Linked DNA regions of Drosophila melanogaster. Changing the gene in region 1 together with any one later gene gives a genetic interaction. Each region holds a gene or a part of one and is shown in the gene's direction. Other genes may lie near its edges.

Evidence for each region. A genetic interaction does not mean that the proteins touch.
Region 2: of norpA (region 1) and ktub, changing one suppresses a phenotype caused by changing the other (phenotypic suppression), as found in Drosophila melanogaster (one study listed by BioGRID).

Annotation. Positions count from the first base shown.
Region 1 is NC_004354.4:4,319,374-4,327,607, forward strand, and holds the start of norpA (no receptor potential A), read left to right. Parts: upstream 1-3,252; 5' UTR 3,253-3,782; intron 3,783-4,235; exon of another isoform or gene 4,236-4,428; intron 4,429-5,974; 5' UTR 5,975-6,243; intron 6,244-7,706; exon of another isoform or gene 7,707-7,917; coding exon of another isoform or gene 7,918-8,185; intron 8,186-8,234. Other genes in the region: NO66 (nucleolar protein 66), read left to right, coding at 255-2,216; mRpL33 (mitochondrial ribosomal protein L33), read right to left, coding at 2,445-2,494, 2,558-2,661, 2,718-2,758; CG12693 (uncharacterized protein), read right to left, coding at 7,918-8,185. UniProt on the Drosophila melanogaster protein: The production of the second messenger molecules diacylglycerol (DAG) and inositol 1,4,5-trisphosphate (IP3) is mediated by activated phosphatidylinositol-specific phospholipase C enzymes. Essential component of the phototransduction pathway.
Region 2 is NT_033778.4:21,100,026-21,106,727, forward strand, and holds the start of ktub (king tubby), read left to right. Parts: upstream 1-1,902; 5' UTR 1,903-2,550; coding exon 2,551-2,592; intron 2,593-6,702. Other genes in the region: CG34396 (uncharacterized protein), read left to right, coding at 1-40, 190-1,226. UniProt on the Drosophila melanogaster protein: Functions in regulating protein trafficking, retinal maintenance and lipid storage. Protects photoreceptor cells R1 to R6 against light-induced retinal degeneration by stimulating norpA-mediated endocytosis of the rhodopsin ninaE (Rh1).

The DNA of each region.
Region 1 (8,234 bases):
AAAACATAGAGACATACCTTATAATCCACTTACCCCATGCCATCGATACGGCAGCTCGCAGAAATCATCGATAACCCGGCGCGAATAATAGTTGTAACAGTAGGCACGTGCAGGAACGTTTTGAATACAGGTATGTGTAAAAAAAGCAATATCATTCTGCTACTAGTCAAGCTCATAAGTACGTGTCTACAGCCAGGCGTGAGTGTTTAAGACTTTAAGGATTAAGACCTAGTGTCGTTTAAAAAAGCTGCAAAATGAAAAAGGCGACTACTTCCGCGGCCGCCAAGTCTCAAGGCAACAGCAAAATGCAGAAAAACGCAAATAACGGCACAGCTAAAGACAAGAAGAAGCCCAATCTAGATAAAGAATCGAATGATTCCAATTCGGTATCTGATATGCTCGCCGTAACCAAGGACCAAGAGGTGCATGCCTTTTTCTCTAAATTATTCGACGATGACGCCGGTCCATCAACATCCAAAAAGACCCAGTCAGGGTCAGCCGCAGCCGCTAAGACCGCAGATCGCAAGCGACGTCTTCAGGCCGAGGCGGATGCCAACAATAATGATACCGGAAAAGCCGGTAAGTTGACCAAGGAATCGGAAGCTACTCAAGGAGCCAGGGCCACCAAACGCAAGCAAGCACGTAGTCTGGGACTGGAGCGCACCTCGCCGATCCAGGTTAATGGCGCGGCTTTAGCCTGCCCTTTGGTGCGCAAATCGCTGCCCCCAGGGGAGGCCAATTCCTGTCCTCAGCCGCCCAAAAAGGACCCAGCAGCCGTGAACTCATTAGTTAAAATAATTAAGGCGGAACCCACCGAAGAGGGCAATAATAACAATGACGAAAAGGAGACTGAAACAATAGAAACTCACAAAGCCGACAGCGTCGAAGAGGGTCGTCGCGTCCTGCAGTGGATACTCTTTCCGGTCCAAACTAAAGTCTTCTTCAAAGACTTCTGGGAGCACACCGCCTGCCTGGTGCAGCGCTCTAATCCCAAATACTTTCAAAGTATGATATCATTCAAGATGCTTGACGAAATACTGATTCGCCATCATTTGGACTTCACCGTCAACGTGGATGTGACCACTTACAAGAACGGCAAGCGTGAGACACTGAATCCCGAGGGTCGTGCCTTGCCACCAGCTGTGTGGGGCTTCTATTCGGACGGCTGCAGCATTCGTTTACTGAATCCTTCCACCTATCTAATTCGCTTGCGTCAGGTGTGCACCGTTTTGCAGGAGTTCTTTCACTGCAAGGTGGGGGCAAATCTATACCTAACCCCACCCAATAGCCAGGGCTTTGCGCCCCATTACGATGACATCGAGGCTTTCGTTATCCAAGTGGAGGGACGCAAGCGCTGGCTTTTGTACGAGCCGCCCAAGAAGGCCGATCAACTGGCCAGGATCTCGTCGGGCAACTATGATCAAGAGCAGCTGGGTAAGCCCATAATTGATGAGGTACTAAGCGCCGGCGATGTACTATATTTCCCGAGAGGCGCTGTTCACCAGGCCATCACCGAAGAGCAACAGCACTCGCTGCACATTACCTTGAGTGTTTACCAACAGCAGGCATATGCCAATCTTCTAGAGACACTAATGCCCATGGTTCTTAAGAAGGCCGTCGATCGGAGTGTGGCCTTGCGTCGCGGCTTGCCGCTGCACACTTTTCAAGTTTTGGGCAATGCCTACAAGGGAAATGACTGCGGGTCGCGCAAACAGCTGGTGGAGAATGTGCAGAAGCTGGTGACCAATTACTTGATGCCCTCCGAAGATGATATTGATGAGGCCGTCGACCAGATGGCCAAGAAGTTCCAGCACGAGGCACTTCCGCCGATCGTATTGCCCTCGGAGGAGGTGCGCACTGTTCATGGGGCACGCAGTGATGCCGATGAGCAGGGCAACTGCGTCTGCGATTACAAATTCAATAAAAAGACATCCGTGCGCCTGCTGCGTGCCAACATTCTGCGTCTGGTGACCGAGTCCGATGGCAGCGTGCGTATCTACCACCATGTGGACAATGGCCTGGATTACTGCAAGTACGAGCCCTATTTCATGGAGATTCTGCCAGAGGAAGCTAAAGCCGTTGAGCTCCTCATATCGGCCTATCCATTTTACCTCACCATTGATCAGTTGCCATTGGAGTCTTCAGCTCGCAAGATAGAGGTCGCCACCGCCCTGTGGGAGCATGGTCTTCTTATGACCGAGAAGCCGTTTAAGTAGACGGCAATCGAAAGCGAGTTGCTGTTGATAATTAGAATTAAGTATCGATGCGAATGTGTATCTAAAACGAGCGTAAATTAATATTTTTGTATAAATATGTAACCAGATTTATAATGCTCCTATTCTGCCGAAAATAAAGCACCCACATTCGCACATATATCTCGGTTGTTTTTTGGTGTTTCCAATAGTTGTAAATTTTATTTTTTTCACTAACAAAAAATGGTTATCTTAGGCGCTGCGGATTTTCTTGCGTTCACGATAAAGGCTTTCCTGTTGAACTGAAAAAGAAACATGGGCAACATCAGTGCATATGCATAAAGTCAGTGATGGCCGGCACTCACTGTACGGATCGAAGCGTATTATCTCCAATTTGTCGGCCAAGCGATCGCGAAAAGCATTAAACTGATGTCCACTGACCACACTTTCCAGTACGACCATGATGCGCCTGTAAAAACGGTTGGTTTTAACAAAAAGAACAAATTGGATGTCCAAATTACTCACTTGCTCTTCACCTTTTTGAACAAAACGTTAGTTAGACGCATTTTGATTCGGTAAATGGGGAAAATGCAGTGAATTATGGAAATATGCCGCTGAAATTATTGTGCAAGCAAGACGATAGGAACGAAGAACAGCTGACTGCGCCTATCGATTACCACCCGAGGGCTCAAGCTTTTCACCCGGATATTTTGAAAAACAATCGGTGTCCACGTATGATGAGTATATATTTAATATTACTATATTTATATTTGATGCATTTATGTCTCTCTGTTTTAAAGCCTTCCTTTCGAAATTGCTAAAAAGCTCTCAGATGCAATGTGGTTAGTAGAAGTCATTCACATATGTATCTTTGGTTGAAGTCCCTGCCAATTAAATATTAAAAAGTTAACATACAGGTTTGAGTCCGTGCTAGAGACTGCAAGCTGTGCCACTGAGGTTAACAGAAGCCAATCGATACCAAGCGCAAGCACTGAAATGTATCGTCGAGAAACATCGGTGGTCAATGCATTCGATGCTTTTTTACATCACTAACACTCGTGCGAAACGGACGCGAATTTTCATTTGTGCTGCGGAAACCAACAACAACAGACAACAAATAAAAACAAACGAAAAACAAAACGGTCAAAATTCCGTGTAAAAAAACTGAAGCCTTGGAAAAATAGAACGAAAAACATAGACGCACTAAAAGCTCAGTGAAGTCCTTTGTGGGCGAAACCGTATAATAAAATAAATCACAGCCACACGCGCTTTCTGTAACTCCTTTTCGCCTTGCCCTGCTCTTGTTTTCCCTTTTAAATATTTTTTTTACGAGTTGGTTTCCCGAGAATTTCCCATACTCGCGCGTGGTAAACAAGACTCATTTTTTTTTTACAGTGTTTGTTTTTTGAAAGTGCAGAGAAGCTGACAAGAAAGAGATAACAACATAAAAACAGAAACAGCCAAAGAGTGGCAACAACAAACAAACCAACCAAACGGAATCAAAGTCAAACAAACGCGAACGCGAAGGAAGCTTCAAAAGAGAGACAAGAGCGTGAAAAGGAGGTGGAGAGGAGCTGCGGAGAATCTAAGGTAGGAGGCAGATTGCGAAAAATACGTTTTTTTGTTTTTTGTTGATTTGCATTTGCATATTCAAAAGTTCTCTGTTTTGAGGGTTGCAGAAGCGAAATTAGTTTTTAAAGCCCGCTTAGTAGCCAATTTGCCGGAATTGCACATTGGAATTCAGTGTGTTCCTAAGTACATAAATCACTAAAAACTAACGGCAAAAATTCAAATAGCTTTCAACAAATATTTACAATTACTCATTGATAAAAGTGGTAATGTGATCCATGTGTAAGTTGTTAAATTATTTTCGTAGCGCATTTGTACGAATGAAAGACTGCAGTAAAAGTTTTCGATTGCATGCAGATCGCTTTCCGAGTTTAAGAAGAAAAGTTGTGGAAAACGTTTTCCTTCTTTAGAGACATCAACTTAATCAAATATCGAACAGCTAGTAAGCCATTGAAATCACATCAGTTTCTTTCTGTGCATCTGGCAAAGTGCTTGATTGTTGATATTTCGAGAGGGGGTTTTCGAAAAGCGATCGGAAATCCAAATTGTAAATGATTTACCAAAAACGTAAACTTGGCCGTGACGAGGGGCAAGAAATGGTCGAAACGTGGGCTGGAGCGGAGCAGGAGCAGGTGAAATACATAAACAAACAAGTGCTCGAAGGAGGGTTAGTTGTGGGAGGGGCTACGCAAATACATAAGTATATGAATAAATAATATAAACAAAATATTAAATTAGAAGAAATTTACTTGCGCGCACGCCGACGCAAACACGAACACAAGGTGCTGGTTGTTGTTGTTAGGATGGTGTGGATATGTGGTGGGGAGGGAAAAGCACACATAAAATTGAAGTATTCAAATTTACACACGCAAAAAACGACGTCGGCAGAGCAAACAACAATTTGCCAGTCCGCCAGCCCTCTCGCTCGCACCCATCCGCACTTGGTCGCCGCGTCTCGCTCGCACTAACGACGGCCACTTGTTTTGCCCTCTGTCGACGTCCACGCAGCCACTGTGCACTGAAAGAAACAAAAGACATGGTACAACATATTCATGAATCGCTTGTAAGATTGATATTTTTTTATAAACGCTCACTTTTCTGTTAACAATACAATATTTTACTCGAAAAATTTAAGAGTTTAAAATATTTAAACTTTAGTGTAAAATCACTGAGTTATTCGACACTGTTATTTCAAAATAAAAAAAATAATGATTTACGACCGATAAACAAAACAAATTTAAAAAAATTGAGCCGCAAATACTTTAAATCATCCAATTCCCATTTAGCTTTATCATTTTTTTTCTTTTTAATTTTGTAGGTGTTAATTAGCAAATACTCATATTTTCCATCTCTCGCCCAAGCTGCAAATGTGCATTATTCAAGCTCTACTGTAGTTCTACGTAGCTTACTTTTTGTGGCAAGTGTGGCGATCAGAAGCTTTATTATGCTTCTCCCTCATTTCCTTTTGTTTGTTTGAACTGCAACCGAGCGAAAGGGGGCGTGCCAGTGGGCGGTGGGTGGCCTGGGATTGTGCAATAAAGCTATAATAATAAAATAACAAACAAACCGTTAAAGCGAACGCCGTCGCACACTCATCGCACCCACACAAACGCACCATAGGTATTGGTGTGTGGCTGCATGATGGGGCGGAAGAAATGGAGAGGAGAACGGCAGGCGAAGGAACAATAATCATATTTGCACTTGCTCTCTCGCACGATCATCACCCACGCAGAAAGAGCGGGCAAGAGCAGCAGAGAGCGCCGGTACAGTAGTCATTCGTCGCACGTATATAGCTGGCCATAAAAGTGGATAGTCATCAATGTGTACTGTTTAGTTTCATAGCATTTATAGAGCAGTTTAGTTTGTTCAATATATTCATATGCAGATTAATTATTTAAATCAGCACTTATCCGTCTGCACAAAAAGGCCCCACTGTACTTGAGATAAAAGTTCTCCGTTGCTGGCTCTCCGTTCTCAGTTGGTCAGTGGTCGTCCGCCGGAGCTTTTCCCGTTAGTCCGCTCGCATAATATAATCCGCGATAAACAAGGGAACACGGCACGGAGAGAGAGCGAAACGGCAACGTGTTTCGTTTTGGTGTCAGTTTCGGTTTTGTTTGCCGCATGTTTACCCATTGTATTATTATTACCTGTTCTATTTCTTTTTCTTTTTTTTATGTGTGTACATTTTCACAGCAATCGCATATTTTTTGCAGTGGCTGTGAGCTGAAATACAAAAAATAAAAAAAACAAGTGCAACCAAATACAGTGTTACCTGTTGTGAGTAAACTTAAGGAAACGTGGAGAGAGCGAGAGAGTGCGACAGCCGACTGATCAAACTGTAAATCTTGCAATGCTCTTCAAACTGAAATTCGCAAGGCGGGAAAAAACAAACAAATATAAATAAACAAGAATAACAAACAAAAATAGGTAGCAAAAGCAGGAACAACAAAAGCCGAAGCCAATTAATTAAATACATATCTACGTAAGTTAAACACACAAGCCAACACGAACTATGATCAGGACACTGAGAGAAAAAGGATGCAACTGTTTGCTATTGCAAAATAAACTGAAGTAGCATACAAAATGACATGTTTGATTTTAGATTATATTGTGAATTAAAAAGTTCTTAGTCATGACATTCATATTTCGGGGTATCTTAAGTTCATTTGCAAGTTCACTGAGTCATCGCTTGCTTTTAAAATATTTATTATTCCCCAGAGACTACATTATTAAGTCGCAGGCATTATAAGGGATTTGAAAGGGCGGCCAAGCACATGCCTCATTTTGTAATAGATAGTGCATATGCATATTCCCAGTTCCGGAAATATGTATTGTTATCTCTCATATGGAAATTGCTTGGTAACAATTTATGGTCTTGTATGCAGTAAATAATCTTGAATTATCGTAAATTATCAAAAATCGCCGAGGATTACCAATGCGAAGATAAAACGTTGGAGTTTTCGCCCTTCATTTGTGCCTAAAAAAAAAAAACATCGCTTTGTTTTGTGCCTATATATAGAAGCCCGGGTGCAGAGTGCAGGTGTTTGGTTTGTTTGGTATTCGTAGTTTTATATTCGTCGATGAGTAGGCGAAAATATCAGCGGGCTGAATTACATTCCTAATTGCAGATTAGTTTGTTAATAAAAGTGTCCGTCCAACGTCGAGTCTCCGTGCTCCATTTGGCATATCCATTTGGATGATACAATATACATACGTACATACATACATACATACAATGAACACCATTGCCATTCGCACTTTCATACCCATTGCCACAATTATGGTTCGCATTGTATTATGCATTTATCGAGTTAAGGCCTTTGTGCCTACGTCGACTCAGTTCACCTCGCTTGAGTTGAGCCAGCGATTCCGTAATTCGGATGACATTGGGCCCTCCAATGAATGCCAATATTCGAAGTGAGCACACGGCGTATGCGTAATTTTTGTAAAGCTTTTCCGCACTTTGTATCATATTTACTCGACACTCTTTGTGTCCAATGAACATATCGTCAGTAGCTACTTGATCAGTGTTTATTAATTAAATACAAGACCATTTCAGTGTTAGGCTACTAATTATTGAAACAAATTAATCCCCAAGTACTTAATGCAGAGTTACAGTCTACAGTTCAAAGTAGAGGAGAAAGCACATTGCTGTGTGCAAAAGTAATGGGTATTTTATTGACCAAATACAAACAGTCATAACATTCTGGCAGGCTATTGGCTATTCACTACCAAACTGTCAATCGTGTTTGAATACCATTTCGAAATTAGAATGAATTGTGTATTTTGCGGTCCGCCGCAACGAAACTATAATGTGTGGGGACAGTCGTCACATTCGGATGTTGCAATCAAGTGAGTTGGAAAAAATGGGATTTGGACATGCACGTTATGAGTTTATTTCGCTTTAGTTTTATTTTAAAGCAAAAAGGAAATAAGAAAAAATGTAAAGTTTAAGACTGGTACAAAATTTATTCGAAATTTGTTTTTCGTTTAGGAAAAACCGTGGGCACATTAAAGATGAAATATATCTAATATACGCATAAAATTTGTGGTATTGTGTTGCTCAGCTACCTGATTCCTAGTTAATACGCTTCTCATTCGTCGTTGCACGTCCCTGGATGCGTAGCCAGAGTCCTTTTCGCATCCTTCAGCCAAATCAATACATTCTAGCATTTAGCAAAAAGATGGCGACCATGCCTATTCGGAGTAAATTGTCCTTCATTGGGGGTGTGGTGAACGATGGCGCCACACAATCGAGTATTCCGGCCACCACGTGGTATATGCAAGAACGGAAAGACTGCCATTTGACGGCAGCCATGTATAAGATCAGCCGGCGAGTAAAGCTCATTTTCTCCTTCAGACTCGAAACCTCCTTCTGCAGTTCGACTTCCAGTCCGGTTTGGCTCAACGTCTCCCGGTACCTTCTGTTGGAAAACGTTTTTTAACAAACGATTTTAGTGAGAACCTAGTGTC
Region 2 (6,702 bases), on another chromosome or scaffold:
AATTGCTTCATCTTCTGTTGGACCGTGATCACAACTATAGGTAATGGGTTACAATGGACCCATAACCATCCAAAACTCCTAAATCCTTTCGTTAGTTCTTATATATGAGCATATTTCCATTTTAGGTTCTTTTTTTAGTTAGTCATATTTAACTTATTAACTCCCATGCCTTCTTCTCTTCCTTTCCAGGTTACGGCCACATCACTCCAAAGACGGGCATGGGTCGATCCCTGACCATCGTCTATGCCATCATCGGCATCCCCATGTTCCTGATCGTGCTGGCCGATCTGGGCAAGTTATTCACGCGCTGCGTCAAGTTCCTGTGGGTGTATGTGCGACGGATGTACTACACGCGCTCCTGCCGCCGGATACGAAAGCAGCAGCAGATCCGGAGCGCCATGACAGGCTTCAATACGATGTACGACATGGCCATCCGCAGGCCGAGCATGTTCTTCAGCAACTCTGCGCCAGAGAACGATGAGGAGTCGCAGGCGGATGCCGAGGCCGCAAGATCGGTGGGCACCTCGCACCCGGAGACACCCACATCACCCTATCCAGAGACCTTCGAGGTGGACGACGAGTTCAATTTGCCAGTGTCGGTGGCCTCGCTGCTGCTCATTACGTACATCCTCCTAGGATCCTTCGGCTTTCTAATGATGGAGCCCAGCTGGACTCCACTGGATGCCTTCTACTACGTGTTCATCTCGATGTCCACAATTGGGTTCGGCGACCTGGTGCCCAGTAATCCCTTCTACGTAATGGTCAGCATGATCTATCTGATGTTCGGCTTGGCCCTGACCTCCATGTTCATCAATGTGGTGCAGATCAAGCTGAGCGATCACTTCAAAATGGCCAGCGCCAAAGTGGGCGCCACCATTGGCATGAACATGACCAGCGAGCTTGGTGATGAGGGCGGCTCCCAGGTGAAGACTCCCTCCGAGCTTGCCTCGGTGCACGGTTCGCGACTGGACAGGATCGAGGAGGATGGCCAGGAGGCGAATGGCAATGGCCACTCCCCGGTGCCACCACTCACCTCGATCCTGCGCGCACCGCGTCCTCTATCGCCGGCGTCCAATGGAGTGGATGCTAATGGAGTTGGAGCCGATGCTGTTGGAGCTGGGGATGTTACTCCGCCACCTCTGCTGCCCAGGCGTCAGGTTTCCGTGGATCCCCAGCCGCCGGCGGAGGGGGAGAACAAGAAGAAGAAAAAGCACAGGTTTTTCTAGAATCCCTGGGATCTTCCGCCTCCAAACAAAAAAAAAACCGACAAAGTTAACGTGTAAGAAACCTCAAAAATGACAAGGCAATTTCAATCGAATTTACCGTAACGCGAAACTCTATATTCATTTATTTGTTATTTAATTTTACTCACCATCATCGTAGCATAAGTCTAATGTTAATGAAATAAAGCGCGCGAGTTGACAACGCAAATTGATGTTTTTAATTGTTGTAAATTCCGCTTAAGGATCATAATCATAAAGTTGTATAATTTTTCAACACTCTATTATCCTGTTATCAGCGTGGTTTTTTGCTCAATCCGGAATCGAATTGCCAGATGCGTATGCTTTGTACGGGAATGCATCCCAAAATCCCAGTAACAGGGAGTCGGGGGCGCGAATCCAAATGCAGTCGCAGTCGGCAGCTGCACATCTGTCGCTCGTAGGAAATGGAAGAGGAAGCAGCCACAGGAGGCGTTGTGCGGAGAGAGAGAGAGAGAGGGAGAGAGGGAGAGACCCATTCCCATTGAGAGCGAGTTGTGGTTCTCTCTGCCTCTCTTTCGCTGACACACGACAGGATGGCATGCTTCGCACTCCTGCTTCGGCTGGCATTCGTGTGCATGTTCCGTTTCCATTCCGTTCCGCTACGAGCACTTCGCCTGAGTTGACGGCTTCTGTTGGACGCCCAGTTGTTGTTTTGGCAGCGTGCGGTTCGGTCGACGGGTTACATCGCCTTCTCTCCTCTACCAAAATAAAGAGGCGCCAAATTCAATCAATTGGACAATATCACACGCAACTCAACGGGCACGAAAGTGTTTGTCAAACAACATAGATTGTATAACATTATAAATATATGCATATTCAGGCGGTACTCGCTCAGTGGCTAAAGCAAACATTCAGTGCCAGCGATCCGGAGAATTCCGATCGATCGCGTCGGTACAAAAAAAATTGAGCGAGAACAGGAAGAGCCGGCTGTTGGCTTCAGTCTACAAATCCTCACCCTCGTGAACACCCCTTGATTTTTTTGTTGTCGCGTGTGCTGCCGTACTACACTACCACAAACTACAAAATATATACCATACCATACAAACTGACGCCAGGTGTGCTAAATTCATAGATTCTTCTTCAATTATTTTGGTGCCCCATCGGTTTTTGTTTTGCTGCATTCATTCGCATTCGAAAAGTCGCTCTTCAACGCAAATCCCAAAACAGCTGTCACTCCCGAATATTTGCCAAATGCCTCTTCATCGGATCATCTGAATCGCGCGTAGTTAAGTGAAAATCGTCAGAGGATTTTGATTGCCTTCTGAAATCTACAGCCATAACTGCAAAAATGTCCGGAATCAACAGTCGTAATCAGAAAATGGAACAGCAGGTAAACCCAACACTCCAATTTGGCAGATCTTTTCTAGATTTTACCAAACCTATAATCTTTGATAATGTAATCTCTGAAATTTGAATTTCTTTAAATGTGTCATTCATATCCATTGTGTTTGATAATCTTCATAAAGTGGACACATTAAACCAACGATCCTATATTATAACAAAACCAATCTATACATACGACAGCGAAATTTATGAACAATTTAATGGCTACTTGTATTAAACTTTTGCTTTAGCTAAGAATTCTTTAAGAACTTTTTTTCAATTGACCATGAATCAAGGCAAGTTAGCACTGGCCTTTTAACTCTTCCAGCCCGACGGTTCGTGAATGTGGTCTAGAAACAAGAAAATCCACTCCTTTCTTGGAAAACTCGGGCAGCCCATAGCAATCAGCGCCAGCAGAAAAGGGGCCATCAGCCGGCATTACACGGAATTGTTCACTTTTTGGCCTCAAAGTTGACCGCTCTAAATGTGCCACCCCTTAAAGGCAACAAAAAAAAAAGGAAAATGAAACACCCAAGTGGCTTAACGCCTTCTCCAAGTGGTTTTGTTGTGCCCGTTTGCTCGTGGCCAGGTGTTCGTCCGTTGTCCTGGCAACGGCGTCCAAATAAATCGAAACGAAGCTCCTGGTGGTGGTGCAGTTGCTGCAGTCCGATTCGATTGTCATTGGCCCTAATTATGTTGAGTGGCACGGAACCAAAAGGCACCCTACTCCACCCACTGGCTCATAAATCGAATCACTTCGATGTGGTTGAGTTGGGCTGCCAAGTGTGGGAGGTCCTGGGTCCTTCGAGTTACTTCGATTTCGTGCCGCTATGGCTTATAAAACATTGAGCAGCTATTGACAGCTTCTTCGAATGGGAGGACATTTTGAAAACATTATGCCAAGTCATTTCAGCTACAAATGAAATAGCTTGAAAGAAATCGAAAATAAGTGGAAGCCATGGGAGCGCATTTCATTTTGATTGAATTTTAATTTTAATTATAAATTCACATTGAATCATCTCACAAATTCCCATGAATTAACACATTTCGTGATTACCATTTTAAAGCAGCTTGTTTGAATAATGTTTGCTTTATCACATTCATTTTCAAATGCGAGTATAAATATGATAAATATTCACTTGCTGAGTCAAGCTAATTTTCTTTGAACGTGTTAGCATAGAACATTAATCCTTCCGAACAATCGTTTTGGGTCATTTTCTCGAGCTTAAGCCAACACAAAGTTATATCCGCCATAAAAAAGAGAATGTGGCACAAAAAAACGGAGTCAATTTGCACTTGGCATAAATCAACAGAAAGATATATGGCAGTCAACTCATAAAGTGGTCGCTAAATATACACAAAGGATTAATAAAGTCTTCGGCCTGGACGCCAGCTAACCCACAATGTAGTATCCTTTCTTTGATTGGTGTCCTGCGTCACTATGGGCAACTACCCACACACACACACACACAGATATGTCCAGGCAGACAGGATTCTATAGTATCCCCATAGGAACACAGACAGACAGCGCAACTAGAAATATACACAATACCATTCGTTGGCATTGTTTTCGTATTGCCATCACCCATGGAATACCATTAAGCGAGGCCACAAAATCGATTCCCGCCTGGTGACGAGTCCTTCAGCTTCGCGAGGAACTGAGCCGCAGGATAATGCCCAGCAATAAGTCACACAATTGTTCACTACTTCCACATATGAATATAATATTTGCTTTCCGCAAATCGCTCAAGCTTTTCCTCACGCAAGTCGTAAAAAGAAACATTTCGGCCAAAAAAAAAGGATGTGACGCACCGACTTTTTCTAATAAGTTACTTGCGTAGATTAGGGTGAACCTTTAAAGCTTGAGAAGTGATTAAAAAATATGATTTGACTAGAGTAGAGCTCAAGCAGAAAAGAGACCCGCCATCTAACTGACCATATATAACTTTCTTTTGATCAAATGAACAAAGTTTATTCGGTGTACTTCCAACTGCTGTTTTTAGCATTAAGAAAAAGGTCCACCCTAATATGTATATTAGCCTAACTTCACTTAGCTTTACGGCTTTTGCCCTTTGTTTCGAGCCTGTAATTTTCGTTCTGTTGCTTCAAATACGAGGTTCTTGACCCAACGAGAGGAAAAGCCGGCTAAAACGAAATCGAATTTACCAAACTTTTCGTCTGACAGCCAAAGTCGAGATTTAATATTTAATAAGAATACGATACCTTATTAAATGTGCATTTGGAGCTGTCATTATGAACTGATTGATTGTTTCGGTAAGAGCTGTATTATTATTTGACTTCTGTCTCAAATTACCCGGCACTTGTAGAATCAAAATAATAACCACAACTATTTGATTAAGAATTTTGTGGAAATTTTCCATGGCCTACCGCGGATAATTTAGATAAAGGAAACACCGAATTGAACTCACTTCCATCAAGGCCATAATTATATGAAAAGCGGAAAAGCTCGTGTTATGTTTTATAATTCATGAGACCCAAAGAAAATTCAAAAATTAAAAAACCATCCATTGAATTGAGTTAACGCCAAGGAAAAAAAGGAGAACCACTTATGTTATCCAAAGAGCGATTCATTTTCAATTAAAGCCAACAAATTTTGACACATATACTAATAGCTGGCAATAAATTGCAGGATGAAAGCGTTCATAGCTCTGTGCTGGCATTTCTTTTCAACAGCTCGTTTTTCAGTTTATGTCCCTGCCATTTTCATTTGGCTAAAACTGCAGTTGGCAGTTGCCAGTTGCCGGCTTAGTGGAAAAGCTGCAAACTCCAATTTTCGTTTCCCATTGGGGACTTTAAACTTTTCCTTGCCAAAGGAAGGACATCACTCAAATGCTGGAAAATTTTACGCAGAGTAATTGGGGGGAAGATTTTTAAATTCACCCACAGGAACATTAAGTTACACCAAAAATCCCTTTAGCCATAAGAATTCATGCCTCATAAAATAAGGAATCAAATTTCATTTTCATGTAAAAGTGCCACCATTTTAAGTGCAAAATGAGTAGAGCCAGATACTGTGACATTAAATTAGCAGCTTGGGAATGTTTCGTCGTCCTTGCAGGACCTCATTTCAATTGCAGATTCCATTAGCTGCAATTTGCTAGTGCATCGCACCCGGAGCAACTGCAACCGTAGGCGGCAAACTTGATACAATTTATCAAACAGACACAAAGTTTCGGCATCACAGTTGCCCATATGCAGGATTCGAGGAGCAGCAGAGCATCCTGCCTGATGCAAATTAATTGCATTCCCGGGAAAACGGAAAACTTTCGGCACACGGCTTTTGCCACCTAAGTGCAGCGGTTTTTGCCGATTTTCCAGTAAAAACAAATTTATTTCATGCCGTATATGAATATATCTGTTTTAATTGGCAAACTTGTGGCGGCAACATACACGTACTATTTAAGGTAATATTTTGCAAATATCTAGCCACAATCCGTAAATCTGGCAATAGCAGATATATTGAATAAATATAAATGCAAGCGACGGAAATAATTGTAATAAATTAAAGTCAGACTACTGAATATGCTCACTGAGTTAAGTTAAACGTAGCTTGTTTTATTAAATCAAATTACTTGCTTTAATAGCCACCTACTTTAACTGCAATTTTATTTATACTGATCCGCATTTAAGCAACTGCATGGCTATTTTTGCTGTGTATCGAAAAATGACCAATTAAATTGAAATGTCTTTAATCGCCTTTTGCCCAGTGGTTGTGTATTGCGGTCCGCTGTCACACGTGTGGTTTGCTGCGGTTTGCTGCGGATTGCTGCGGCGGAAACTGCAGCTGACAGTTTGCAGAGCTCACGTCACTGATTAAGTGGTCGGGTGGTCTGTGGTTTCTTCTTTCATAGCCCGAATCCTTCAACTGCCATCAGTAGGCGATTAGTCCTTATACCGGGATTAGTTTTCAGAATGAAAATGGTTTGGTGCTACTAATTCTGTGCTCGCCAAATTGTTTATGTTGCTGTCTGATTTAATATTTATGCAAATTCTGTTTGCCAACAGATTATTGCACTTGTCTTTTTCAATTGTAAACTAATTAGGCCGTTTATGTGGTCGGCTAATTAAAATGCATGCAAGGTGTGGAAATAATGCG